Alligator mississippiensis: one gene and its partners. The protein of the gene in region 4 interacts with the protein of the main gene of each other region in a pairwise test. Links are inferred from orthologs where the notes say so. Each region holds a gene or a part of one and is shown on either strand. Other genes may lie near its edges. The genes, in order: SNAPC3, NEK6, CDKN2D and HSD17B14.

Region 1 (7,804 bases), on a different chromosome or scaffold from region 4:
AAAACCTGGCTAGACAAAGCTTTGGCTGGGATGATCTAGTTGGGGCTGGTTCTGCTCTGAGCAGGAGGTTGAACTAGATGACCTCCTGAGGTCCCTTCCAACACTACTTTTGTATGATTCTGTTTTTGTTTATAAAATTATAAAAGAATCAATCATTCTTTAAAACAGCTTCTTTTGTTTATCTTGTGCCGTGTATACAATGCATGATGCAGTGTATGGAACTACATACACTTATTTAGCATGAATGGCTGAATTAACTCAGGATTACGCCATTCATGAAAAACATGGGTGTTCTATACTGATACTGAGTAAAACACACCTTCTTGCAAAGCAGTCATGCCAGAACCTCAAAAATGGGAGGACGAGGGCCAAATTCAAAACGTACTGATGGTGAGGGAAGAGAAAATTCTGGCCAAGGAAACAAGCCAAACTGTTTTATGAAGAACGCTATGAGCCTTGCAACATCAATGAAGAACAAAACAGTGAAAAGGTCTTGCTTGAAAGATACGTGCCGTGAGGTACGTGGTATTTAATTAGTCTCCCCTGGAAAGGTAGTACGGCACCAAGTTGTACAAACAGAGATAAAAAGTTGACTCAAACTTCAACAGATTCGGACCTGTGGTTCTGGGAAAAAGAGAAGCAGAAAGGCATCTAGCCACTTTGTCCTTCAATGGCCTTCCATAACTATGGTGGCCCACGTTGCTTTTTAAGTTTTGAAGTTATGTTTTAGTATTTTTATCTGGATTTATTCCTTATAATTAAAAATAGTACACTGCCCACTGTCATCATCTCCTCCACCCTCAAAGGTTTAGTTGCAGTATTTCATCACCTTTGATGCATGCATATGCTACACTACTATATCAAGACCCTTGACACTTATTTAACAAAATCTTGCAGACATTTACAAACCAACTGGCAGCCCTGCAAGTGATTTAGTTGCAGCCCCTGGGCTCCTGCTCTGCCACCACTCCCCCAATCACCCTGCAATAGCAGCCAGAGTTTCTGGGCTCCCCCTTCCTCCTCCAACTGTTGTCCCTGCCCCAGGGGGCAAGGCAAACAAGCACACAGCATGGAGAGTGGACAGCGAGTCTGGGGCCATGAAACCATGCGGTGCAGTGGTGCAGGGGAGAGGGGGAACATGAGTGGTACAGCAGTGAGTGGGGGAGGGCGCAGCACGGGACTGAGCTGCCAGCTCCAGGCAGGACCCACAGGAGGGGCTGCAGCCACTCTGCCTGGCTCCATGGGGCCTAGGGCAGTCGCCCCAATTCACCGTATGCTAGGGATGGCTCTGAGTCTACAAAACTATTTTGAATACTACCTGATCAATATGCTTGGTAAATGAAAGAGGTGGTCCTCACATTCAAACAAGGTGAGTGCAAACTGAATACAGAAAAATTTGCTACATCTTACAGATTTGATAGACATAGAAGCCTAAAACATAACCAGGTTTTTAAATGATTGCTCTACTTTCTTCCACCCACCCCCAACACACACACAGAGCATGTCCAGATAAGCACACATGTGGTTTGTGGTGCTTCAGACCCATCCGTGGCACTGCAAACTGCACACACCGCACATGTAGACATTTGGCACACTGCTAATTTGCAACACAGCTAATTTTTTCGACGCCAGGAGATCCCTGTGTCAAAAAAAAAATCCATGCCAGAAAAAAGCGGGGCGGCACATGTGGCAGTAACATGCGCCACCCAAAACCGGAGCCTGTCTGGCCAGAGCCATGCTGCCAGCCAGACTCCACACACTTGGATCACTGCCACTAGAGTCCTGGGAGGCCCCCAGGATCCCAAGTAGGGATCGCTCATGGGGACGTCCCCATACAGGACATACTGAATTCATACAAATCCAAGACAAATTTAAATTTAGGAGCAACCCCCCACAACAATTAGATTCCACACAAGGAAAGTTGTAAATTTATTATAAATTTCCATGTACAGAATCTAATTTTTCACCCCCCTCCCACTGCTGCAGCATGAAACACAGCAGCAGTGGGGTAAGCAGTGGGGAAGACAAACAGCTTGACCCCTGCCTTCCCTTCCAGTACCTGTTCCCTGCCACCTGCCCCCTCTCCCACTTGCCTCTGCTGCTACTACTTACCCTATAGAGGGGCCCTGGTTCTGGGTCTGACCTGGGACACGGAGTGTACAGTAGCTCTACCCCTGACCCAGTCAGGCAGTGGCAGGAGCTCCAGCCCTGACCCCCGCTAGGCAGCAGCAGTAGCAACAGCTCCAGCCTCAGGCAGACAGTGGTCAGGAAGCAGTGACAGCTCCAGCCTCAGTCCCAGGCAGGTGGCAGGGGCAGTGGCCTGGCCTTGGCCTGGGGCAAGAAGTCCAGGGCTGGAGCTAGAGCCACAGCAGCTGCCTGCCCCAGCCTGGTGCTCAAATCCAAGAAAACTCTCTCCCCGCCAAAGCTTGATGGATGGGGGTGAACCTCATGTTGGATTTGAGTAAATATGGCAGTTTCACATATCACTTCACATGCACAGATGCACGTGCACAGAGCACACACGTATGTACATGTGAACACACAGGTGCGCACACACATGCACATGTGCATGCACATAGACATACGCACATGCGCACACGCACGCAGATGCATGCATACGTACGTATGCGCGCATGCGCACACTCAAGCACGCACCCACACATATGCCGCTATTCATACACTCGTGCACGCGCCCCTCCTCCCCACCCCAGCGCAGTCCCGGCTGCTGGCGGCCCCCGCCCGGGTACCTGCACACTGCGCGAAGCTCGGCCGCCGTGTCCAGCGGGCAGCCCAGCTCGGCGGCCACCGCCGCCTCTGCCTCCACCACGTTCCGCTGTGCCAGGGACAGGTCCGCCGCGGGCAGCCGCTCCCGCCACAGCGCCCCCACGGCGCCCACAGGGAACACGCGCGTGCACAACTCCGGCGTCTCGTACTCCGGCCCGGGCCCTGCCATGGCGCCGCGCGGGGCGCACTGGGACCCGCGTCCCTGAGCCCGCCCCGAGGCGGCGCTGCCGGCCCCCCGCGCTCCGTTTATCCCTAACTGGGCTCTGCCCAAGAGCAGGAGCAGGGGAGGCTGGTGGGGCCTGGTGACGTCTCCGCCTGTGCTCCCGCCCTGAGCTCACCGGCGTGCGGTTCTGTGGGGAAGGGCCGGCCTCGGCCCTGCGGCGGGCTGACCCCTACACATTCGTTTATGCGCCTTACAGCCTGACTGCGTCTTTGGTTGAGTAGGTGCTTAATAAAGTACGTGCACTAACTAAATGCAGGGTGCTTAGAGTTACTGCACATGAGCACACGTTATTTAGTGACACTACGTGTTGGCCTCATCACATGGTGCAGGAGGCTATCAGCTTGGTTTGTGCCGTGCTACGGCACTGTGCGGTGTGATTAGGTTAATGTGCAGTATGTGGTGGGAGAAACCTCCCTAAGGTCCGTTGTCTAGCTGTAATTTGATTGACAGACAACGCGGGTAAAGAAAGACAGCTGTTTATTTGCTCGAGCAAAGACCATAAAGCCAGCAAAAGGCAAAATGGCCCCCCCTCAAGGGTGAGGCGATCTTTTATACTTATTACAACAAGGCAAGACTATATGGTTAACAAAAAGCAATACTTGGGCAGTGCTTTATAAATCTTTATAACAGCATATTTCTATTAAGCTGAACTAGCACTTTTAAAAGCTAAAAGTTAAGTAACAGTAACATTATAATATGTTAGCAAAACCTTACACAGTAGTAGATACTTCTCAAGGACACAACCACTGCACCCAGAACAATGGCTTCCCTGTCTTATCTTATTTCTTGCTGTAGCTGATTTTTCAACACACAGACACAGATCCACTTTTTAACTCAGAAAATGCTTAATACAGTTAAAATGATTACTTGACACAAGCAAAGGCTTAGCTATCATTCTGCCTTGTGGTCAGCTGCATTGCTAGGCCACAGATCATGCCTTGTATTCAGCTGCAAAGCTAATACTTCTTAATAATCCAAATTATTGTTAACCTAACAATATGCTATCAGAAAACTATTCTATTTCAGGGTAATAACAAACATGCTCACCACAGTAAGCGTCTCATGTAGACGCGCCCAGTGTCTCTAAATGCCTCCAGGTGCCAGGATTGCGGCCATGCAGTTCATGGTGCCAGAGGACTGCTCGCAGGCTTTCTTTCCCTCTAGTTCATTCCTGCAGCCTTTTGGCTAGGGCAGAGCTTCCCAAGCTGTTTCTCAGCATGATCCTATTTAGGGCCCCATTTCCTCAGCATGGCCCCTCACTCCCAACCCACAGCACCCACCCCCATGATCCCATCCACTGATGTTGTGACTCCATTTAGGATGGTGACCCACAGCAGAGGTGGATTAACAGGGCCCCCTGGCAATTGGGGGAAGGCAGGCAGGAAAAGTCTCTAACAATACAGGAGGTGAGCAGGGTGCTTGTCCCCGGAGCTGATGCTGGGTGGGACAGTGGAGCGGGACCAGCCTCTGCTGGATGGGCAGCACCATGTTGCTCCAGGGGTTTTTGCAGCGGGTCTGTCATCCGGCCGGAGCACACAGGAGCTTCTAGGCCTTGGGGAAGTACCTTCCACAACTGGTGCCTTCCTTTTGTGGCCCTATTGGGAGGCTTGTTTGGTGTAGATCCAGGCTCCTGCAGCCCCAGCGCAGGCCTCTGCTGAACCCTCTTCACAGACCCACCCTGTGGGCCAGGTGAGTGGCTGGGTGGGTCAGTGGGTCAGATCTTGTGCGGGGTTTAGCTGCAGGCGTGATCCCGAGCAGCCAGGATGCAGGGGCATAATTTCATTATCTGGTCTGCAGGGTTCCCCATGGGTATCTGCTGCCAGCTTTTTGGACCTGTAGGAGCCTGTGCAGTACTGTGTAAAATCCTTATACTGCTCTCTAAGCTACATGGGCAGACCCTCTGTCCCTGCAGAACCCCAGCTGGCTGCGCGAGGGTACAGGTCCTGTGGTAAAGCTCAAATCGCAGGTTTGGGCCCTTCGGACTGTATTGTGCTGATTCACAGGTGACTTCAGAGGAGATCATTCTCAGACAAAAATTTTCTGACAATTGCAAAAGTTTAACCGTCATGAAAATACTTCTAAGAAAGGTTCATGAAAAAACCCAATTTATTCAGAATTTTTTGTATTTTTATTCGTAGAATAATACTTTTGCATAGCTGAAAAAAGCAACCAATTTCACTATTTTTGATCTGCCTAGTATTACAAAGTATGACATTGTGTAAACAAAAAGGAATTGATGAGGTCATAGGATGCACTAACAAGTTACTGAGCAATTAATCTATCCACTAACAATCTAATTCCTATTCTTCTTACCCTACAATCCTAGTGACACAAATCTTACAGAGGAAGGACAACTAGAGAATAACCTGCCTTGGAGTAGGTTTCCTCCAGGGCCCCACTAGAATGGTTTACAGCACCACTATTAGCACTTCCATGACAAAAGTAGGAATGACAGGCCTTTAGAAAGGTCCAGGTCTGGCTGCTATGTGAAAGGAGTGGGGTGTGAATAAGATTACCTAGTGAAAGGTTTCCTGCAGCTTTGGCAGGATGAAGTGGCTAATGGGTAGGAAAAGAATAAAGCATCTCATAAAATGTATTTTAGGGCTGTATTCCTTCGCAGTCTTCTATTCTCCTATTCTCAAATTAAAAGCTGTTCATCCTCACTACTGAAGTATTCCATTCCTGCCTGTGTCTATTCTTCCTTTCCCTTGTACTCCTGGCTGTGATTATGGCTCATTATGTGTTTTTTTTCAGCCACTCCCATTGTTCCCATTGCCCATCCTTGCATTTGTGCTTTATGGAGTAGTTCAGGTTTGGAAGAGGTTCCTGATTACAGGTTGTCTCTCTCACCTGCTGTTAAAACCTTCCAGCTGTTCCAAGAAGCATGCATTCCAGTTTCAAAATCCAGACCCAACCCTTTGTTTGTCACAACCTCACTTTGAGGTAAGTCCTTTTTCTGTTGTGATCTCTCATTTTCTATTGTGTAATAGTGCCATTGCATAAATCATTATAAAGATACTGGAAACACTTCACTTTTGAAATTTAGCTGCCTCTGGCATAAAAAACTCTAGTATAGTAAACAAACAACATTTGGCATAAAAAGCAGGAAAGAAGAATTTTGGCCAATGGTGCAGGGGCTATATCCCAAATCTTGCAAAAAGTTCCTTTGGGATCATTAATGTCCATGTGGAGCAAAAAGAGTTTGGTTTTGAAGTTCATTTCTAAAAGATCCAACACAAAGGCTAAGTACAGACAGTCAAAAAGCCTAAGGCTGAATCAGTCCAGTCTTTGCAGGTTAGCCTAAGCTGCAAAGATTAAACTGAGAAACAACTGGACACACATTTTACCTTTGATTCAGGAAATGCAGCCACATGTCTGCAGTGGGGCCAGAAGCCAAGGAGCTATAGAGCAGGGGCAGGCAATTATTTCGGGTGGAGGGCCGCTTACCCAGTTTTGGAAAGCTGTTGAGGGTGCAGCACGAGCTCCAGGTGGGCAGCAAACAGTGCCCAGCATGGCAAACAGGGGGGTCGCTTTCCTCCACGCCAAGCAGGCTGCTGCTGCTGTGGCACAGCCTCAATGGGCGAGCACAGAGTCAGTGTGGGGCCAAGGCTGGCAGCGACAGCAGGTTACAAGCTGGTGCTGAGTGCAGGGAAAAACGGTCCCACCAGCGTCCCATGCTGCAGCCACTCGCAGCCCACGTGAGGCTGTCTGTGTCTGCTCAGGACAGCCCCATGCGGGCTGCCAGTGGCTGCAGCATGGGGCACTGGCCATGGGGTGGGGAAGGGGCTGCTTTTCCCCCATGCTCAGCACCAGCTCGTTTCCTGCCAATGAGCCAATGGTGCTGGCAGCACCTATGGGTGGTCGGCGTTTGCCCCTCTCCCCCCCTGCTGCTGACACTGCCATGGCCACCTGCAGGAGCTCCCCACTCAGACTGCCAACACTGCTATGGCTGCCTGCGGGAGCTCTCCGATCGCCACCACCACACCCCCGTCGCCAATACTGCCAGCGCCACCTGCGGGCAGTTGTCGTGTCCCCTCAGCCTCCAGGGGCATGTGGCATTCATGCTGGAAAGCATGCTGGGATGTTGTGGGACTCTGATTTAACTTGAGCCAGGAAGGGGTCTGGGACAGAAGTTTCATAAACTGGTTTGGCCCAAATCAGTTAAGTCTGATACTACTACATTCAACGAGGTTTATCTTAAACCAGTTTCAGCCATTTTGAAACTGGTTCATGTGCACTGAACTTCTGTTCTGTTACAGGTTTAAACCAGTTTCTGATGACTTAGAGCACTTTATGTGTGACCAGTTTATATGTAACTTTTGTCCCTAGCCTATGAGTTGTATGAAACTTTGTGGACTGGCCAAAGGAAAATTCCAGCAGGGAGATCCTCATTGTTCCCCAGATAGCATTAGAGCTATCACAAAAAAACTGTGTTCCTGGGGAGTGTGGACAGAAAAGAGGTTTGTTGTTGGAGCTTGTGCTCCAATTATTCTTGGCTGCTGGAATGGTCTCATGAGGGTTATTGCAGCCAAGGATATATTAAGAGTTCTCCTGATCTCCAAAATGTTTTCTCATTGAGTTTCGTAGTTGCAAAGAATACAGTGGAAAATAAATTACTTTATAATCCTCACCTTCAGGCAGGTTGGGGTTCCAGCTGATGAAGCAACAGTTGCAAAATATCAAAACACAGAGTGTTAAACCATGAGTGGGTTGTGTGTTTTTGTGTTTAATTTCCCACCTTTACTCTTACAGAGTTGAACATGTAAAAACACTTCTACTCAAGGAAAATCCTCTCAA
Region 2 (6,941 bases), on a different chromosome or scaffold from region 4:
TTTTGACAAAATACAGCTAAATAGGAAGAAATACTTGAAGAAGCACTGCAAAATGATGGAGGGGAAAACAAACACATGCAGTCCACACCACCGTGGCAGGAACATGAGGTGCATTCTGGGTGAGGACGACGACTTCTTCTGAGCCACTCTGAGCAACGTGTCAAAAATCAATACCAATTGATTCTTCTTGATTTCTAAATCTCGCTCAGATGCAATTCGACAAATTTACGTGAAGTATTACAGGCTGCTCTTTAAAAAACAGAATTTGTAGAGACATTAAGGTTCATGAAAATAATAGCAGCTCTCCAGAGAAATGGGGTGGGTTCTTTTCTTTTGGTTAGCACTAGTTTCCTTTGAACAAACATGGTGTGTTGCCCGCCTGCCTGCCTCACCTACATGCATAAAAAAATTGAAACCAACTGAGATGCTTTTGTTACATTACTGTTGGTTTTGCATGAAAACCTATTTGGAAGCAAGCAGCAAAGGGGATTTTGTTCCTCTCCCATCTGTGACAGACAGCTGCTCACTAGCTGGAATCTATGAAGCTACCAGACACTTAAAGTAGCACCAAACTAAAGTAAACATTATGCTTAAAAAAAAAAAAAAGTTTTTTGAAAACCATCTGCCCTATTTCACAAAATACAATTTCTAACATAGTTTTGCAATGTGATATCATAGCCCCCTCTATACAATTAGGACGTTCTTAAATGTTGCCTGTTCCTAGAAATTAAATGGTTGATCTTTACCTTGAAAAAAATGTAAAATAGTTTATTTCTGACACCTTCAAAATGGTATTCGAAAACCACAACTTAACCCCAGAGATTTCTCAGGCATGTGAAACTGCGGCACTTACAGTAGGGCCAGATGTTTAACTACTCAGCACAGGTTAGACTTTAAAGTAAAGTAATCTCAATCCAATCCAAAACAATTCATATGTAAAATTTAAGCCAAGACAGAAAAAAAAAGCAGATCAACCACATAAAAAAAACTGGTATCTATACAAACCGCTATATTTGAACCACTTAAAAAAACCTCAGGGTGGTTATTTGTTTTGATTTGTTTTGTTTTAATAAAGCTTACAAACGTTTCAAGCTGCCTGGTTTATCCTGCATTCAAACAGGAACTCTACTGCCTGTGCCCCGCGTTATGAGCAGAAGTAAGACAGCAGCTTTCTGCCTGGCTACTTATGCTTTAAAAAGTTAAGATTTATTTAAGATGCTTGTAAACTGGGAGTTTCAGGGGTTTACTCCCTTTGTAATATAGATCACCGGTTGCAAGGTGCGGACCTCGATTGCAATCCCGCCTCGGACAAGACGCGTGCAAGAGAACAGCGCGGACCTGGACCTTCCTGACCACCAGCAACTCTCCACGTCACGCATCGCAGCTCCTCCATCCTCTAATCGGTTTCCTTTTACGCTTCTTTCTCCCTGAGAGAGAGGTCAATCCAACCTGCATCCTACAAGTTAATAATGGGCCGCACCTGTTCGATCACCGCCAACCCATGCCTCAAGCCAACAGGCGACTGCCCCCAAAAAAGGATCCTGTATCATTTTGTCCAGCCCAGGTCTGAACCCCACAACTTCCTCTGCTCAACCATTTCACCGATTACTGCCTGGCACGTTAGTTAGTCCTTGCTGATGTCCAACCTAACCATACCCTTGTGCTTACTCCTCTGTGCATTATCTTGATGTCACACGAGCCCCCAAGAGCTAACTCACAAAAACTTTCCAAAACTCTGCCAACGTTTGCCCGAGCGGCACGCGGTATCTGTGTCCGAGCGGCACGCGGTATCTGTGTCCGAGCGGCACCGTGCTGCTTTCACAGGTTGAGCATTTCTTGAAAGCTAGCGGCTTCTCAAGACAACAGCTACGAGACACATGTATAAAGTTTGAGAAATTAAAATCCAATTCTCATTTTTATAACAAGGGACTGCAACGTGACCGCGAAGGGGCCTCCGAAAACTTATCCTAGAACTCGTATGAACGAGAAGATCAAACATTGACTTCCGTTCCCTGCACGGCCTGGTCCGAGATGGGTCCTTCCTCCAGGGTTTTTTAATCTGCAAATTAAGGCAATGCTGCTTCAAAAACTACATGAAGATCTCCTGATGAAACCTACTGGATAAAGTATTATCATCCGCCGGCACTACCTGCCAACAGAAAGGCTAAATGAAAAGACCCCGTCAAGGGTTTCGTTTTCACTTTTCGGTAGGTCTCAACCTTTCACGGGCAATTTTAGCCTCCGGTGTCGCGTCACAGATTTCGGGCTGGAGGGAACCTCGCGAGACCCTCGGGTCCAGGCGCAAGGTGAGTGTGCAAGCGTTTCTTTTGCACGTCCGCACCGCTCCGGTCCCAGTCGGCCACGTACCTACGCCCGTGACGCCTGCGGCAGCACCCCAGGGTGCCGCAGCGTGGCGGGTCGCCGGGCCCAGCCCCGTCCTTGCGAGGGTGCCACGGGCGGCCACGCGGCATCGGCGCCGTTCAGCGCGCAAACACGACCGGCGGTACGTTGCGCTGCCCCGCCGCGACGGCGGGATCGCTCCGTTCGGTTGCTACCGTCGAGCTTTCCGGAAGCGCCCCGGACTCCGGCACGCCGCAGAAAGAGTGGAGAGCCGCGCGTCCACGTCGCGTGTCCACGTCCAAGCCGCCCCCGTCCCCACGGCCCCAGAACCACGGAGGAACCTGAGGTAATTTTCAGCAGCGGGGGTCCCCCGAGCCCCCTCGGCGCAGCCCGGCCGCGCTCGTGACAGGAAGGACGGCGCGACGCGACGCGACGCGGCGGGGACGGCACGCGGCTCCTTCCCCACGACCGCCAGCGGAGTGGGGTGGGGTGGGGTGGGGTGGGGGGCTCCCCCCCCGCCGTGCCCCCCGGGGCAGGTCGGTGCCAACCCCCCCCTCCCGCGCGCCCCCGTTACCTGCCGAGCGCCCGCGCCGCCTCCCGCCGCCTGCGCGCGCCCCCGCGCCCGGCCCGGCCCGGCCCCCGGCGGCGCGAGCGCGAGCGCCAGCCCCGCCCCCGCCGGCGCGCCGCCGCAGCCGCCACGCAGGCCTGCGCCGGGAGCGCGCGCGCTGCACCGCGCCGCGCCGCGCCGCGCCGGGGGGCGGGGCCGGGGGCGGGGCTCCGCGCACTCGCCCCGCCCACCGCCCGCGGCTTGGCGCGGCTTGGCGCGGCTCGGGGGAGGCATGCGGCCGTCACCTGCATGGCGGGGAGGGGGGTTACCACACGGGGCGCCATAAATGCTCTGGGCTCGCGGAGGCGCAATAAATGTTGGCGGGCCGCCCCTGCGAAGGAGCCGCCCGGCCGTGAGCGGGGGAATCGCGCCATAAACGTCGACGAGCGGCCTGTGCCAAGGCCGGGTCACGCAACAATGGCGCGATAAATGTAGACCCGGCCCCATGCAAAGTGGTGATCGTATAATGACCCGGGGGATCGCCCAATAAATGTACACCCGCCGCCTGTGCAAAGTGGTGCTCGTGCAGAAGGAGGGATGCGCAATAAATGGAGACCGGCCACCCCCGCACAGTGTTTATCACGTGGAAATGGGGGGGCCACGCAATAAATGTTGACGGGTTGCCCTTGCGGAGTAACCGCCAGGCTGTGAATGGGGGAATCGCGCTATAAATGCAGGCAGGCTGCTTGTGCAACGTCAGGATCATACAGAAATGGGGAGGCACGCAATAAATGTTGATGGGTTGCCCCTGCAAAGTAGCTGCCAGGCTGTGAATGGGGGAATCGCGCCATAAATGCAGGCAGCCGCCTGTGCAAAGTCTGGATCGCACAGAAATGAGGGGGATGTGCAATAAATGTTGACGGGCCGCCCCTGCGAACTAGCCGCCGGGCAGTGAATGGGGGAATCGCGCCATAAACGCAGGCAGCCGCCTGTGCGAGGTCCGGATCACTCAGCAACATGGGGGGGGATGTGCAATAAATGTTGACGGGCCGCCCCCGCGAAGTAGCCGCCAGGTTGTGAACGGGGGAATCGCGCCATAAATGCAGGCAGCCGCCTGTGCGAGGTCCGGATGACGCAGCAACGTGGGGAACGGCGCGATAGCCGCGTGGGAAGGGTGAAGTAGCGCGCAGCAGCGATCGGTGTCACACAGAGAGGTGGACGGTGCCCGGACGCACGGCCCCTTCGGCGAAGGCCGCTCGGCGTCCCGCGCTGTTCAGATACGCGTCCCCTCTCCGCCGGCGCGGCGTGTCCACGAGAGCTGCGTGGAACCCCCGATCACCTGAGACGTTTCGGGTCGCAGCGCCCTGTTTTTCCAGCAGGCTCAAGCTCGCGTGGTTTCAGCTTCGAAATAAGTTTGTTTCGCAGGAACCTGAGAAACTGCGGCAAGCGCTGGATTAAATGACTGAGTTCATCCTACAAACCTCCTCGTTTCAGGCACGCTTTTTTTTTTTGTTGCCAAACCAAGGAGACGTCTGGAATGAGTCTGAGCTCCACGTGAATTGAACGCAGTTTCATCCACGAGAAACTCCTGAAACGCCCTGCCCTGGCTGGCTTTGGGCTTTGTTGTTCGATTTTGTCGTGTGAGGTCAGCGGTGCAGGCGGCGTGGGTACGTGCAGACATCGTCTGTCCGGCACGCGAGTCTCTCCTGTGTATTAGCACTCGAGACGCTGCGCGAGTATAAGCTGTACCTCCTTGCATTACTGTGATAATGCGAGGCATTTTCTCTCATGGGTGCAGATGCCTGCGCAGCTATGCCATGCTTCTCGCTAGAGACAGAGCAGTAGACATAACAGATGGAAACGAAGAGGCCACCTGGTTTTGAAGCAGATCGTATCGTCAATCCATCAGTACCAAATCTGCAACACCGGGTAGGGCTTCGATAAACAACATTAAGTCATTTTTTTCCCTCTACATCTCAGGCATCCCGGGAGCTGTAGACTTCCCCACCTCCTTTCTCTGAAAGATAACGCTCTCTAGAGTTGAGGCACGAGGATGTCGTGAGCGTACAGCGCCAAGAGGAGCACGAGAGGTTTGTTCTGCCATCCTCCGTCAATACCTCCTAGGCGAGATGTCTTTAAACGTGTGCTGGGCTCCTGCGCACAGCTACCAGACCCGGGCTTTTCACTGCTCGATTACACAGACCATACAGCTCTACCCGTACTTCGAGTTAGCAGAATTCAATAAGGAAAGAAAAAAATTAAATTTCCTGAATTACATCGTGATGGAGATGAATTTAGCCTGACATGGTGCATTATTATTCCACGGGAAATTCCTTCCTGGAAAAATCAGAGAGGAAAAATTCAAAGGACAATTTCTCCTGGAAGCTTCTTGTAAAATCATGAATTCATCTTGCACCCCTGGCTCCGCATGGCCGTGCTAAAAACATTGCATTAACAAACACGGAGCCACTTGCAACTGTCCAAGGATTGTAGGATTAGACTGCATAACTCCAAATCAAATTAGATAGATAGATAGATAGATAGATAGATAGATAGATAGATAGATAGATAGATAGATAGATAGATAGATAGATAGATAGATAGATAGATGTGTATTTATATATGTTTATTTATATTTCAGCATCCCTTCTAATGAAGTTATTGCCATTAAGAGCCATCAGACTGCTGTTGGCTTCACTTAACTGGTTTAATTTTTTAGAGCAATGATTTTATGATCTGGGTCTTAATTTACAGTCTTTATAGGGTCAGTATGATCACAGTCATATCAGATAGTCCATGATTGATAACATCTTGGCTCTACAGGTTTAAATAAGGCAGGATTTCACCAAGTATATCAATACATGCATCCTGCCTCGTTGGTTAGTTTTCTGGTCATTGTGCACTGTATCTACTTCCTGCAAGAAGTTGTTTTCAATAAAAAAAAATCCCCCCTACCAAATAAAAAACAGAATGAGCTGAAAGAGACTTTTGTCAGCAGTAGCCAAAGAAGAAAGGCTGTGAATTTTCCTCTCCAGTTATAAAGCTGCAGCACGTCTTCTCCACATACATACAGTACATGCAAGCTACTTCCATACTATGTCTGCTACATGCATGCTCCGTTCTCATATTTCTGTAAGGTTCGAATCCCAAAGGAAGAATTAATGCTAAAGGAATGCATACCAGTATGCAACTAGTCGAAAACTCAGTACAGAAAATCTCCACCAGCTTGCCTAGAGAAACACCTCTATTATTTTTACCATATTAAGATCTGCGAGTTGTTCTCATGAACATTCGTGCAACAGTTTAGTCGCAAAACTGATAAAAGTGATGCAAAGAAAGAAAAAAATTGGAATCAAAAAGGGGATTCAGAAAGAATTGGTGTTCGGGAAGATAATGCAACCTAGACAGGTCACGTGCCCCAGAAAACAACTCCAGCCCAGCTGCCTGTGGATCTCATCAGGGAACCAGATGTGACCAGTGGCAGAATATCCTTCACAGCATGGGATCTGGAGTATGCGATTGCCATCCAGGAAAGGGGAGATGGGAAAGTATGATGGAGAAAAGGTTTTGTTGCTTAAAAGAAGTTTTCTTTTTCAGAAAAGATGCTAGGTTTGGGAAAGTGTTTGGGGTAAAGAACAGAAGGATTTTTCATACAGACACAGAAGGTTTTGTGTTTTTTGCCTCCACTTTGTTAACTCTAAAGGACTTTAAAGGATGAAGCGACGTAAAGAAAAAGCTCGTATTCAACCATTTTCTTTTGCTCAGAAAAAAACCTAGGAGGGAAAATTAATAATACTAAGGGCCCCGTTGTCCTCTGCCCAGCAGGGCTGGAAACTGTGAGCTCCTGCTCATGGAATTTCCTCATTCTTTCATCGAGCAGCGGGTGAAAGGGGAAAGGCGCCTTCCCCTCAGCAGAAGCTGCAGGAGATTCAACCTGCAAGGCATGGGTACAACCGCTGGAGGCAGGAAAGGGGCCGTTTCACCTCCAGCTGCTTGTTGTGCTGGTCGCATTAGCTCGTAGTGGAAAGGCGGGTTGAAGACGAGGGTTTGCAGG
Region 3 (7,116 bases), on a different chromosome or scaffold from region 4:
CTGGGGGGAAGCTGGCCTAGTGGGTAGAGGTGAGCCCGGACTCCTAGGTTCAGTGCCCAGCGTGACGTCCGACGGGGGGGAGTATGTCGGTGCCCGGAGTGGGTGGGGCACCTAGCTGGGAGAGGGGCCGGAAGCTGCAAGCAGCTGAGCAGAGGTTGAGGCTACTGCCCTGTGTCCCAGGGCATATCACTTAGCCCCTGCTGTGCCTCAGTTTCCCCAGCTGCACCACACAGTGATGGGGAGGTGACGGAGGCTGGGCAGAGGCTCTTTGGGGGCATCCTAGGCAAGGGGCTTATAAATGTGGCTTAATAGGGGCAGAACTCCAGGGGGAACCCTGGACTCCTGGGTTCTGTGTCCAGCTCTGCTGCCCTCATGCCAGCTGGTGGGGGGCATCTCCTGCCCAGAGTTGCTGGGTGTGGGGTTAGGGTGATTAAAGGGAACACAAAGACCCCCACCCAGTGGAATGGGGTGGAGAGAAGGGGGCACAGGGACCCTTGGCCAAGAGCAGAGCAGTCACCATTGGCAAATATTAATTTAATGGTTAAAATCGTTAAATTATCCCGGCGCCCAATAAATAGAAGCGGCTTTGAGCTCATTAAAAGCACCAATCCATCCAACACACCCCACTTCCCCCAAATAGAAAGCACCCCCCTCCCCCCCAGCTGAGGCATGCAGCCAGGTAACAGACCATGGCACAGATGGTGGGGGGTGGGCACAGACAGGCTATGGTAGGAGAATTAGGGCCCCAATATCAGGGCCCGAGCTCTGTGATGCTCCCCCCACCCTCCGAGCTCCAGCCCATAGCAGGGCTCCCTGGGGTGGAGAGTCTGGGAGGCTACATGGCATCTGGGCCACCCCCAGTGGGCCTGGAGGTACCTGCAGCTGGTGGGGGAGCTATGAACTGCCCAGCTCCCAGACTGGCGCGGCGGGGGGGGGGGGGGGGCAGGTGTTCTTCCCCAGCACCAAGCACCTGACCCTGAGACCGAAGCCTCCCCATCAGACTGATCCCTTCACCCCCTTCCCCATTCAATCCAAACCAGCCCAGACCAATACAATACTCTATGGGGGTGGATGTAGCTGATGGAGGAGGTTGGGGGGCTCTACAACATAGACAGACCCCCTCCTCCACCTGTTGAGGGAAAAGCAGATTGGGGGTAGCAGGGGCTATCAGATTTTTCTGGGTAGAAACCAGATTGAAACCTGAGTTTGGGGCCAAGGCAACCAGGCCAGACCCCCCACCCTGCTATGGGGGGGCAGGCGGAACCCCCATTGGAGAGCTCCAGTGGGAGAGGGGGAAACACCCCAAAAAATATAAATAGAAACAACAGTAAAAGTTAAACTCTGAGGTAGGCAGTGGGGAAAGGGTCAGAGGGGACAAGAGAGGAAATGGGGAGGACCTTCACAGGGGGACAGGACAGGGAACAGGGGCAAGAGAGGGAATGGGGGGGCAGCTGGCAAGAGCCAGCTCCATGCCAGCACCCCCTCCCAGGCCAGGGACCCAGCACCCCACCCCCACCAAGGCTCAGGCAGGGCCCGGGCAGTGCTGCTCCAGGATGGCAACAATGCCAGGCCGGCCGAGGTGCTGGGCGAGGTTGAGGGGGGTGCGGCCGTGGGCATCACGGCGGCCCAGGTCGGAGACGGGTGCCAGGACAGCCACAGCAGGTGCGTGGCCCTCAGCCACAGCCACATGCAGTGGCAGGGCCCCGGTGCCATCTGGTGCGTTGGCATCGGCGCCATGCTCCAGCAGCACCCGCAGTGTGTCCGCGAAGCCCCCCCGTGCTGCGTCGTGGGCCGGTGCCCGCCCCCCTGCGTCCTGCACGTTGGCACTGGCCCCCTGCTTCAGCAGCTCCTGTGCCACCGCCATGCTGCCCATCATCATCACCTAGAAAGCGAGCTGGGTGAAGGAGAAGGACCTGGGCCCTTGCCCCCCACAACACCAGTCCTACCTGCCTCCCCCCACCCCCGCCACTGCTGGGTGCCCATCAGCACCACCACCCAGGGGAAGCATGGGTAACAAGTGGGCACTGAGGCTCCTCCCTCCACCCCCCAGATCCTACCCTCATCCCCTTCACCCCCCAGGAACCAGCCTCCTATCCTCAACCCACCCCCACATAGGGCAGCAGGGACCCCACGGGGACAAGGCCGAGGACCCCCGATATCCCTCCCAGGGGCTGGGCCCTCTCCGGGGTGCGCCCACCCTAGTCCCCACCTGCAGCGCTGTCCTGCCGAAGCGGTTGAGCGCGTCGGGATGCACCAGCTCGTCCCGCAGCAGCCGCCGCACCTCGGCCAGATCCCCGCGGGCCGCCGCGCTGCTCAGCCGGTCCCCACCGCTCAGCTCGTCCCCCAACAGCATCGCAGAGCCGAGCCGGGCCGGGCCGGGCTAGGTAGGACCTGAGGCGGGCACGGACACCGCGTTGACAGGTCAGCGGGTCCCCGCTGCACCGGCCAGGGACCCCTGGCCCAGATAGATCTCCGCTTCCCTTCCCCTCCTCTCCCCGCGGGCACCTGTAGTCCGCTGGCGGCTGCGGCCCCGGGCGGGGGGCACCGGGCTCGGCTGCGCCGTGGGGGTCCCGATCCGGGCCCGATCCAGGGCGGGGCGGGGCGGGGCAGGGGCTGGGCGGACTCCGCCCACGTGGCGGCGCCGGGGTGTGTCTGTCCAGCCCCCGAGCGGCTACATTGTAGCTATATTGCCGCGTTCTAACCACGCCCCCGCCCCCTCGCCCCGCCCAGTCGGAGCCGCTCCGCCCAATCAGCGCGCGGCTCCGGGCAGGCTGGTGGCGCCCGCGGGCTGCTGATTGGCTGGCGCTGGGCGGGCGGCAGGGGGCGGACCGCGCCGATTCAAACGCTGCTTCAGGCGGGAAGGGGCAGGCGGCCCCCGAGGCCACGACCCCCGCGACCTGCCGTGACCCCAGCGGGGGAAGAGAAGCTACGGGGGATGCCGGGTCCCCGCGCGGGACCCGCCACACGGACCGCGAGCTCCTACGGGGGTCGTTCCCTACGGAACCCCGTAGCCCCTCCCCACGGGGGTCCCGGAGCTGAACCCCCACACACACACACCCCCACCCGGGACTCGCCCCACGGCCTCTCTGGGATGGATCCCCCCAAGCAGCCCCTAGGTCTGGGGTCCCCTTGCTCCATGTAGTGCCCCCCCCCCACTCCGACACAGGTTCTCTGCCCCCTGGCAGACCCTCCACCCCGCTGACACCCTCAACCCCCTCCCATAGGGGTACACCCCAGCCCCCTGGGGCGGGACTCCTCCCCACTTCACTGACTCCCAGGGCTGAGACCCTACCCCACCCACACTTTATGGGTTACGATTCCTCCCCTATTCCAATGAACTCCATAAACTGTGACAGTGGGACACCCTGCCAGTTCAGAGGCTCCAATAGCTGCCCCCCCCCACCCATTCACACAGGGAGGAGTGACAAAGGCCATGATTCTCCCCCTTCCCCCCCCCCCCCCAAAGGGAGGCAGATGCTAGCTTCTGGCCCCTAGGGACAGACTGCAACAGGCTGGAGGAGAATGCCCCTGCCAATAGTGACCCCCCCCCCAAACCAGAAGACCCCAACCTCACAACCTCCCTCCATGGAGACTCACCCCCACAGCTTTGCTCTAGCTGCAGGCACACACTTTGCTCCAGTTTAGGTGGCTGCCTCACATTCCCTCTAGAAGCAATGGTGCCTGGCTACATGGGGCATGGGCAAAAGGAGCACCCGCCCACAGGTGCAGGAACAGGCATGCACTGCCCTCTCCCCCTACCTAGATGAGCCCCAGCCCTGGCTCCACCCCCCACAGTAGCCTTGAGGAGGGGGGCATGGGGGGAACTAAGATGGAGACCCCCAAGCTGCAGCTGCCAAGCCAAGGCCCCAGAGGTAGAGTGGGGAGGCAGCTCTTCACTGCTGGGGGACACCCCCACTCCATCCCAGGCCTGGTAGCCACTGGGGCCATTCAACCCCCCACCCCTGGAGCAGGACTTAGCCTGAGATGCAAGACTTTGGGGGGGGACAAACCCAGCCCCCCTATTGCCCCCAATCCACCCAAAAGACCCACAGAACACAGGGAAACAGTCACATTCTGTTTATAAACCAGCAGATAAGGCAGGGCAACATATGGGGGGGGTTCTCCCCTGGGGGTAGCTGGGCAGAGAGGGGAGTGCTAGACTCAGGCCTTGGAGGCAGCAGGGTCCTCCACCACTGGGTGGTGGCGTTCAGCTGGTCCGGAGCTGGTAGTCTGGGAGGTGGGAGTAGAGTAGGGGAGTAAGAGGGACTGCAGGCAGCTGTGGGGACACACACACACACACACACACACACACACACACACACACACACACACCCCCCCCCCCAGGGTTGCAGCCCTCCCACCCTGAGAGACCTCTCCCATAGAGAACATCACATACACAGGTGCCCCCCACACCTTAGGTGTGCCCCATACATAGATACATGCCCCCCACTAAGGCTGGGGGGGATGTGCTGAAAGTCCCCACATGCCCCTCACACATGCCAGGAACCCCCTACTACAGTTGGGGGGGGTAGAGGCCTAGGGACCCCATGACTCACCCCCACTCTGGGTGATGTAGCGCACCCAGGGCAGAGCCTGGTACCCACTCTTCTCAATGATCTTCATGTAACGAACCTGGGGGGGAGGTTAGTATTGGGGGGACTGCCCCAGGCTGGGGGGGAGGAGGTGGAAGGGCACTAATCCAGTCCTGCAGCTGCTGGGGATACAGGCTGCTCTCCCCCTCCCCCCCCCCCAAATGTTTGAGAGCAGGGAAGTTGAGGCACATGCCAGAGCACCAGTCTGACCACAACTCTGCAGAGAAGGGATATTCTCCAGCCTGACAATGCCCCCCACCCAAAATGCCCCCACACTCCCAACACCCCCCCCAATGACCCCAGACCCCCACCCCAGTCTTCTCCCTCCCAGGATCTCTGCATCAGGGAGACTGCAGGCTGGCTGAGGAGGGAGGGAGGGATGTCCACGGACCCTATCCCCCTAGTCACCACAGGGAAAGTGCCATAGGTTATGGTCCAGGGACACCCTCCCATTCCTGGGTCAGGGTGTGGACCATGGCCTTCCTGGGACCCCAGCCCCACCCCTGGCCCACCTGGATGCCTGAGACGGTGAAATAGGGGATCTCGAAGCGCACAGCGATGGGCGGGCGGCCCTCATCCTCCTCCCGCTCCACACTGGGCAGCCCAAAGTGCGCGCGCAGCAGGTACTCCTTCCCACCCTGCCGGCACAGGGCGGGGAGAGGTCACAGGGTCCACCCTTGCCAAGTGTCAGAGGGAACCCAGGCATCCAAGTGCCTGCTCTCATACATACCTGGGTTCTCCTCCCATCTGGGAGAGGAGGTCCCAGTCCCCTCACTCTGCCAGCCCCCTCTCCCCTCCCACAGCAAAAAGAACCCAGGCATCCAGGACCCCAATCCCTGTGCACTTACCCCACCTCCCACACACCCCACCCCATTCCTTTAGCTGGGAGAGAACCCAGGCATCCAAGCTCCCAGCTCCCATTCCCCTCCCCCAGCAGGGAGAGAACCCAGGAGTTCTGACTTGGAGACCCACCCGCAGCCCCCTACTCCCCACCTGGAGTAGGGAGAACCTAGGTGTGCATGCTCCTAGTCCCTCTCCCCCACACTGAGCAGGGAGTGAACCCAGGCATCCAGCCCCCCAGCTGCCTCCCCTCTCTTTCCAGAGGAGGGAGGGAACCCAGGAAGCTGGCCTGCCTCACCGGAAAGGACTTGATGCTCCAGAGCACAACGTTCCTCTCGGGCACATACTTGGCGCTACCCATGCTGGCCTTAAACTTGGGCGAGTCGACATCACTGGGCACGGGCACTGTGATCTCCACCCCGTTGGCCACTGACTGCTTCTTGAACTGACCCTTGGCCTGCCCAGGGTCAGAAAGCAAAGGTCAAGGGGCACATTCCCTGCCCAACCAGGTCGAGGGACTCTTCCTGCCCCCTTCCAACCAGACTCAGCCCCAGGCCACCTGCTGGGGTCATTGCCTCAAGGAATTAATACAAGAGGTTCCTAATACAAGGCAAGGCGTCCCTTGACTCACCTTGACCATGATCTCCACACGACTGTGGGAGAACTTCTCGATGACTGACTCAATCCAGATCAGGGGCTTCACCTGCCGGGAGGGAAGAAGGGGAAATGTGGGAGTCACAACAGCCCCCCTCTCCCCCCCCCCCCCATCCACTCCCGACACACACAGGAGCTGGGAGAGAAGGTCACACAGGAAGGGACAGGGAATCCAGGCACCCAGGCTCCAACCTTCTACTGCTCTAACCCTCCAGCCTCTATTCCCCTCCCAGACATGGAGAGAACCCAGGCATCCAGGTTCCCAATACCTTCTGACAAAGGTACTTCCCTCTCACAGCTGACAAAACCCAGGTGTCCGGGCTCCCAACCCCACACAACCTTCCAGACTCCAGCCATCCAGGCTCCTAACCCCTTGGCTCCAACTCTCCACCCAGGGTGGGGAAGAGAACCCAGGTGTCCAGGCTTCCAACCCCTACCCCGCTTCAACCCCTCCTGCACCAGCACTGGGGAGAGAACCCCAGTGTCCACTCCCTGCCCCCCACAACCTGGGTGTTGAGGCGATAGGACATGAGTTCAAAGTCGCCATCAGGGGGCACGAAGGAGATGGTGCGGTCGGCGTCAAAGCGCGAGAGCCGCACGCACTGGTGGAACTTCACATCTTCCAGCTCTACCGATTTGTTCTTGCCACCTGGACCTGGGTGGGGGGAGTGTAGCTATGAGCTGGGGGGGCATCTGGGGGAACTGTGGCGGGGGGGAGGGGAGGGGAGGTTGCAGTCGGCCCTAACACCTGCACAGGGCAAGAAGCAGAGCAGCGGATGGGGCAAGGAGTGGGAAGAAAAGCAATAGATCAGGCAGGGGTCACAGGGCAGGGAATGGAAAATCAGAACAGCTGATGGGGCAGGGAGTGCAGGGCATGGAGCAGAAAGCAAAGCAGTAGATGGAGTAGGAAGCAGAAAGTAGAGCAGCCAATGGGACAAGGGGTATAGGGCAGGGAGCAGAGCAATGGATTGGGCCAGGGCAGGGTGTCCCCTCTACCCCTCCCCCCAGCTCTGTTCATCCCCCACAGGAC
Region 4 (7,295 bases):
TTTGATTCCTGCTCCACCCAAACTTCAAAACCACCCATCTGGGAGGTGCAGCAGCATTTCTATTCAGGCAGCACTGAGGGAATCAACTGACTTCATGGTTCATTGTCATCTCCATGATTCCTGCTAATCTCCACACTCTACAAATGTTAAGAACCTTCCATCCTTTTTAATGGTCCTGATGTTCCACCATTCAAACTAGCCTTTTTCCTGCAGGTTTGCTCATGTTTGCTATTCCCAGTGACATCTTTCTTCTCTTTCACATTCCTATAGACTCTTTTTTAGCTTTAACTAAACCCCTTAACTCAGGTGTGGTCATAATAACTCAGGTAAAGACATGACTCACAGCCAGGTATTGGAGGCACCGTCAAGACACTCAAGAAGGCTAGATTTTGTTTTATCAATCTGAATAAGACATACATTCAGCTCTAGTGATTACAGGATTCATGACACAATGTCTTTGGACTATTTTGACTATTTTTTGCCAATGTGTTGTGCTTTTTTTTTTTTTTTAAACTTTAGATAGAATTTAGCAAATCTGTGTGTATTCCAATAGTGATATTTGTGCTTGATCTCAGACTGAATAATAAAGTGCTAGCCCCCTAGCATATTAGTAAAGCTGCTAGTTTTGCTCTAACTGGAAAAAAGATGTGTTGTGTTTCATGTGATGTGCCATACCATCTGCAATCCCTTTTCAAAGTCCTAGATCTGCCCATGACTGCCTGAGTCCTGGCCACAGCCCCAGCCCCTGCCCTCTTGAACCCACGTGTCCCAGGGACCCTGCTGCCACAGCCTCCTCTCCACTCCTACAGTCACAACTAAATGCTCTGGTCTTTACCAGCCTACAATAACTCCTTTGAGGCAGATCCAAGGGGTGCCCTGGTGGACTTGCACCCCCTTTTGATTCCTGTTCCACCAAAAGTTTAAAGCCAACTACCTGGGAGGAGCAGCACGTCTACTCTGCTATACCCCCCTGGCCCCTGGGGATCCTGCTAATGTGCAACACCCCTCCCAGCAGGAGGAGCTCCCTAATACAGCATCCGCCCCCCTACCCCGTCAGGGTCCCTCCAAAGATCCCCTGGCACTATCAGGGTGACTCACGCTGCCCGGCATTGTTCACAAGACAGTCCAGGTGCCCAAAGCGCTGCAGGGTTGTGGATACCAGGGCCTGGAAGAGGGGAGCAAGGAGCAGGGGTCAGAGGGAGAGAGCCAGGGGTATAGGGAATCAGGGGAGGACAGTAGGGATTTTTGGGGTTCAGGGCAGATTGGGAGGGACAGGCCTTATCAGACCCAGCCTCAAGTGCCTACCATCTTGAGGTGCTGTATGATGAGCAGGGGGGCTTGAGACCCCTATTGCTTTCTCTTTAAAGACCTCTCCCCCACTCCTCCCCAAGCCCAACCCACCTGGATATCCTGTTCACTGGTGACATCACAGGGCCAGAAGAACGGCTTCCCGGGGCCACCCGACTCCTTTAGTGCCTGCTCCAGTGCCTCCCCCACCTCCTCTGCAAGTGAAAAGGGAAGAGGGGTGGGGAGAAACAGCTGGGGAGGAGGTAGCATTAGATACTGGGGGGAATGGGAGATCCCAAGGGGAAGGGGGCATCCATAAATACCAGGCAGGGACAGATCTGGGGGCCAGAAGTGTAGGACCCTGTCCCCAGTCCCAATCACCCCAGCCCTGGGATGCAAGGGGAAGCCTCCCTCCACCTGAGCCCCACGGGGAAGGGGAGATAAGGACAGGAGGTGGGGTGGGGAGGTTCACCTTCAGCTTTTGGGGCACAGAAGACCACATGAGCTCCCTGATGGACTGTGTGGGTGGAGGGGGGAGTTGTGGAGTTGCAAGGGGACAAAGTAAGAGGACAAGGTTAGTGTGAGATTGGCTGGTGCTACACGCTTCCTCCTACAGTGCAGGCAGAGGCAACATCCCCCCCCCCCCCCCTGCTTCAGTGCTACAAGCTTCCTCCTAGCCTACCCTCCACATCCCCCCAGGCAGGGATGGGTCTCTGCTGCCCCCTACTGACCAGCTCCCTGCACTATACATGTCTCATAGAAATGGAAGGGCCAAGATTTGGTGCTGGGGGGTGAGGGGGGGATGGGCTAACACAGCCTCTTCACCACCAGCTCAGCCCCATGACAGAAAGCTGGGGTGGGCATCAGGGTCCCCCCTGACAGGAGCTGTTAGTGGTGGAGGGCACAGGGGCAGGCCAAACCCAGGGCTGGGTAACAAAGGCAGGGGACAGAGGTGGGGTACATTGTAGGCTTTACCCCCCCACCACACTCATATCTCTGGCCTCTTCCCCCCTCCAAGTCAGTGACCTGCTGGATGAACAGTCTCGGGACAGACAAAGTCCAGCTGGGTCCAAGCCTTGGCCCTGCCTCAAAGTCCTCTCCCCACCCAGGCCCCAATCCCAGCCTTGCAGATCCCCCACTATATCTGCCACCCCATGCCTCAGCCCCCAACCCCTCCATGGTCAGACATGGCAGCCCCGTCCTCCCTGCTCCCCCATGCCACCCCTTGACCCCCACAATCCCAGCCCCACAACTCACTAGGCCCCTGCCCCAGCCCAGAGCCCCCCTCCGCATCACCCCAAGGACTCCCTGCTCCTTGACCCCCACCTCCCCGGCTTTCCCACAGAGTCCCTGCAATAGCCCTGACTTCAGCTCCCTTCAGCCCCCACACCTAATACCCCCAGTCCCACTCATCCCCAAGCCCACTGTACCCAGTCCCTGCCCTGCCCCATCCCATCCCCTCAGACCCAGTGCACCCTGATCCCAGCTCCCCCAGCCACCCCACACCCAATAACCCCCAGTCCCACTCACCCCCAAACCCACTGCACTCCAGTTCCTGCTCTACCCATCCCAGCCCCAGCACACAGAGACCTCTGTCCCCCCTTACCAAACTCCCTGACGATGGCTTCCCCGATGCCCCTCGTGCCTCCCGTCACAAGGGCAACCTTGCCTGGGTAGCGCAGCCCCGAAGCCATGGCCAGGCCAGCCCAGCCCCAGCTGATCCGGGATCACGTGTTCCCCCTGGGCAGGAGTTATAAAGGAAGAGGGGAGACAGATGCACCCTGGGAAATATAGTCTCTTGATTGTGGGGGGATTGGAATAGGGCATCCCCTACCAAGGGTCACCACTGCAGGGCCAGATTAACACATAGGCAAACTAGGTACATGCCTAGGGCCCTAAGTGAAGAAGAGACCCAATTGTGCTTATTTTACCTATTATAATTATTGAGTGAAAAAAAGGAATATACAAATTTTATCTTCAGCTGGTTTCCCTAGGGTCCACTAAAGGGTTAATCTGTCCCTGCACCACTGGGGTCCTTACACATGTAATTCCCAGGAAGTGGGGGGCAGCAGTGGTGCTGGTTGCCTGTGTTTTGCTATGGGGTTTCCCAGGCTTCTGGGCTTTACTGATTGCCCCCTTCCCCACCTTTCTGCTGCACGTGTCAAGGTGTTTTTAAGCCTCCCTTCAAGGCATTGGGTGTTGGCTGCTTGGGGATTGGGATTGGGTTGTGCCAATTGGGTTGTGTCAAGTTCATCATGGGGGCACAGAAGGGAATTGGTGAGGCTTTACTCACCAAGGCGCCCCTGGGGGTTACAAGAAATAATGGCCATAAGCTAGCAGAGAGCAGATTTAGACTAGACATTAGGAAGAACTTCACAGTTAGAGTGGCCAAAGTCTGGAATGGGCTCCCAAGGGAGGTGGTGCTCTCCCCTACCCTGGGGGTCTTCAAGAGGAGGTTAGATAGGCATCTAGCTGGGGTCATCTAAACCCAGCACTCTTTCCTGCCTATGCAGGGGGTTGGACTCGATGATCTATTGAGGTCCCTTCCGACCCTAACATCTATGAATCTATGAATACTCCTGCTGGAACCAAAACTAGCGCTTTCACCCCATGGTGGTGCATTTTGTTGCTACACTGACCTGCTTGTAGCAAAGGGAGTGGGAGGAATGCAATTGGTCTGGGGTATGGGGAGGGGGGTGAACCCCTTGATTGCTGGGCTGGTTCTTATAGGGGCATGGAATTGGACTCAGAGAGCAGGAGACTTAGGTTTCAATTGGATATCAGGAAAAACCTCTTTACTGCTAGAGCAGTGAGGCTGTGGACTAGACTGCCTAGAGGAGCTGTATGCTCTCCATCACTGGAGGGGCTCAAGGAGAGGTTGGACAGGCACTGGTCAGGAATGATCTAGGTGTAGCTCTGCCTGTGTTCTGCTCTGGGGGTTTCCCGGGCTTTGCTGGTTGCTCCCACCTTTCTGCTATGGGTGTCTAGGTGTTTTTAAAAAGCCTTCCTCAGAGGCACTGTGTGTTCGCTGAAGCCAAGGCTGGGGATTGGGATTGGGCTGTGCCAGTGCTCCTGCTGGATCTTAAAGCCAGGGGCTTCTGGCTAGAGGGTCTTGTCCCTCCACTCAGGGTCAGACCGACTGCTGTATTTGAGGTCAGGAAGGAATTTTACCCCATGGTCAGATTGGTGAGGACTATGGGGGTTGTTGCCTTCTGCTGTAGCAGGAGGTCTGTCCCTTTTCCTGAGGAGAGCATATATTAACCCTTTACAGCAGCAAGATGTTGGCTGCTGCAGTCCTTCTTTACCTGCAGCAAGTTTGGGTGTGATGTCTTGTTTTGGTCATGGCTGACAGTAGTTCTGACAGAGGAAGTACCATGATCACCACGGTGGTTTTCCCATGGAGAGGGGTAGTACCTGGGTAGAGGTAATATAGTTACCCTCCCACTTACATTTCCAGTGGGAAGATCTTGGCTTATGGTAGGGAGACTCCTCCTCAGTTTGCTCCTGCAGCCATATGGCTGAGGGCAAGCAAACCTGGGGATATACAAATCCCCAAGCCTCTGGGCTTGGGCCTGCATGTAGGACACCTGCCAAATGATTTTGAAACATCTGAAGCCCCAGGTTGGGGTAAAGGATGTTTGCTGGTAGTAGGGCCATATATAGTTCTTGAATGATTCACGGATTTGGAATTGATTTGGCTTAGAACATGAAAAATTTTCCATTAAAAAGAAGTAGTTTTATGAATAGGTTAGACTGTGGATTTGCATAGGATGGCTTGGATCAGGCGGGGATTGGACTAGAGGACCTCCAGAGGTCCCTTCCAGCCCTGCTTCTCTACAATTCTATGATACACAGGTCTGGTCTCTCCTGAGGTGGGGCTCTGTGGGGAGTAATGTAAGAGGAAGCGCTCCCCTACTCCAACCCCAGCAGGGGACAGCATGGAGGAGGAGGCAGTTGGCAGAAGCTGGCTGTGCAGGTCCCTTCCAGCCCAATTTCTCTGATTCTATGCTCTACCTTGTGGCCCTATGGGCTGGGTGACTGGCATGGAGCTGGATTGGGTACCACATGCCAAGATTGGGGTCCTACACTGCCCTGATCAGCCCTGTGCTGCCCAGACTGGCCCCAGCACCATCCAAATCAACTATATGTGCCCTATCTAGTACATAGGGCTAGTCAGGGGAGCCGTGTTTAATGTAGCCACCGCTCCCTGCTGGCCAAACTTCCAGACCCATTAAGGAGCCCTGCAGCCAAATGACACAACTCCACAGGCAAATTTGGCCTATGGGCCAGGAATTGAGCACCCCTGGGATACAGGGCTTTTTGGATGGGGATTTGCTTTGGGAAAGAAGATCAGGACACAGAGCTGAACAGCGCAAACTTTATTGAATACATTTGCCCGCTAAGGCTGGGTTGGGTTCCCAGTACCTCTAGGGTGAGGGGGCAGCTGTTTATCCAGGAATCCTTTCACCCAGGGTTGAGGTGCATTTGGCTCTGGGGTGGGGCATGTTGGGGGTTGGTTATACAGGGCACCCCTTCTGGCATTGAGATGCCACAAGAGCTGCCTGTATTAGAAAAGCTTCCTCAGCGCCCCATGCTCCACCGCACCTTTTCATCACACCCACAGGTCTCCAACTGGGGTGTGAGGGTTGTTTGCACAGCCCCAGACATGTTTGGACAAATCTGTCTGGCTCCAAGCCCCAGGTCTGGAAATGCAGAGGGTGGGAACTAGGGAGGATGATGGATCCCATGAACTTCCTCTTCCTTCTAGATGCTGATCTCAGCTCTCTGGCTAGCACAGTCAGCAGGAGATTGAGGCAGGGCTGAGATGGCAGAGAGCTGTGGGTTGGGAGCGAGGGACACCAGCAGAGCGGTGGGGGAGGGGAAGGGGGCTGCAGGTGAAGAGTGAGGGGCACTGCCAGAAGGGCAGGGCTGCCTGGCAAGAGCTGAAGGGAAGGTGTTGAGGGGCACCAGTCAAGCAGGGGAATACTTGGGGGTCCCCAGTAGCCCTCTCTTCATGGCAAATAGAGTGACCCTCAGCTCCAGGGGGGAGGGGGCTGTGTTTCCCTGTCTGACCACAGAAGGGTGCCCTTATTCAATGCAGAACTGGGGAGAGGGCAACAAGATCCCACATGGAGTGCTTCTCCCCCCCAGCCCCCTTGGTTGGGGATATCGAGGCCCCCAAACCCCCCCCCAGCCTGTATTCCCTCTCCCCCTTACATCCCCAGTGGACTTGGGATAGTCCCAGCTAGGACTTCAGCACTGCATCCTCCTCTGGGGGCACCCTGAGGGCAGGACTTAGCCCCACTCCACAGCCAATGGGCTAGAAGCTAGACTGAAGCAGTGTAATTCTGATTGGCTGGCTGGCTTCGCTCAGGTGCACTCTCACCTGGCTGGGTTTGGTGCCCCCACTCTGCCCCTGATACCCACCATTAACCAAACCCTCATTTCCTACAATCCTTTGCTCCCCATAACCCCTTGCGGTGGCAGGATTGGATGGTGCAGGAGAGGACACCTGATTGGATACCTCAGGTGAAACTGACACCTGATTGGTTGGTTCAGGCAGCGATGTATCAGGCATGGATGAAGCTTGATTGGTTGCCTCTGTCCAAGATGGTGACACCTGATTGGGCATCTCAGACAAAGCCGATATCCGACTGGACGCCTCAAGAATGGGCAATGCCCAATCAGAGTTCCAAGACAGAGGTGAGCCCTGACTGGCTGCTCCTGACTGTAGCCCTGTGCTGATAGGAAACACTGCAGGCTGATTTGGGGAGCAGTCTCTCTCAGCCACAACATGATTGGCCTGGTATTCCCCATGGATGCGTGTGGCAGAAAGCATGAGATGCTGATTGGTCAGTGCATCCAGTTGTTCTTGGTGGGGCTCTGAGTGGGGCTTGCGTCCCCCAAGCTGGGGCTCATACGGGGTCCTCCCTGCAGAGAGAAACAAGGCAGGGTCACCCTTCCTGTCTGGAGCCTGGCATGCGGCCACTTCTGGGGTAGGATACACC

The links.
Region 1: the proteins of HSD17B14 (region 4) and SNAPC3 interact in binary tests that used the Homo sapiens proteins (3 or more experiments, as listed by UniProt). The two-hybrid records come from large-scale screens. The link is inferred for Alligator mississippiensis from reciprocal best matches to the Homo sapiens genes HSD17B14 and SNAPC3.
Region 2: the proteins of HSD17B14 (region 4) and NEK6 interact in binary tests that used the Homo sapiens proteins (3 or more experiments, as listed by UniProt). The two-hybrid records come from large-scale screens. The link is inferred for Alligator mississippiensis from reciprocal best matches to the Homo sapiens genes HSD17B14 and NEK6.
Region 3: the proteins of HSD17B14 (region 4) and CDKN2D interact in binary tests that used the Homo sapiens proteins (3 or more experiments, as listed by UniProt). The two-hybrid records come from large-scale screens. The link is inferred for Alligator mississippiensis from reciprocal best matches to the Homo sapiens genes HSD17B14 and CDKN2D.

The regions. Positions count from the first base shown.
Region 1 is NC_081826.1:181,600,700-181,608,503, forward strand, and holds the start of SNAPC3 (snRNA-activating protein complex subunit 3), read right to left. Parts: upstream 3,004-7,804; 5' UTR 2,954-3,003; coding exon 2,748-2,953; intron 1-2,747.
Region 2 is NC_081835.1:65,889,507-65,896,447, reverse strand, and holds the start of NEK6 (serine/threonine-protein kinase Nek6), read right to left. Parts: upstream 3,006-6,941; 5' UTR 2,915-3,005; intron 1-2,914. UniProt on the Homo sapiens protein: Protein kinase which plays an important role in mitotic cell cycle progression. Required for chromosome segregation at metaphase-anaphase transition, robust mitotic spindle formation and cytokinesis.
Region 3 is NC_081831.1:23,793,972-23,801,087, reverse strand, and holds CDKN2D (cyclin-dependent kinase 4 inhibitor D), read right to left. Parts: upstream 2,674-7,116; 5' UTR 2,506-2,673; intron 2,497-2,505; exon of another isoform or gene 2,392-2,496; 5' UTR 2,354-2,391; coding exon 2,210-2,353; intron 1,883-2,209; coding exon 1,523-1,882; 3' UTR 520-1,522; downstream 1-519. Other genes in the region: AP1M2 (AP-1 complex subunit mu-2), read right to left, coding at 4,208-4,230, 4,557-4,632, 5,105-5,230, 5,731-5,889, 6,064-6,135, 6,593-6,741. UniProt on the Homo sapiens protein: Interacts strongly with CDK4 and CDK6 and inhibits them.
Region 4 is NC_081828.1:39,479,499-39,486,793, forward strand, and holds the start of HSD17B14 (17-beta-hydroxysteroid dehydrogenase 14), read right to left. Parts: upstream 3,021-7,295; 5' UTR 2,982-3,020; coding exon 2,894-2,981; intron 1,805-2,893; coding exon 1,760-1,804; intron 1,540-1,759; coding exon of another isoform or gene 1,503-1,539; coding exon 1,402-1,502; intron 1,166-1,401; coding exon 1,099-1,165; intron 1-1,098. Other genes in the region: PLEKHA4 (pleckstrin homology domain-containing family A member 4), read right to left, coding at 6,608-7,218. UniProt on the Homo sapiens protein: Catalyzes the NAD(+)-dependent oxidation of L-fucose, yielding L-fucono-1,5-lactone, which rapidly converts spontaneously to L-fucone-1,4-lactone. Can also act on D-arabinose and L-galactose, with lower catalytic efficiency. Does not use NADPH.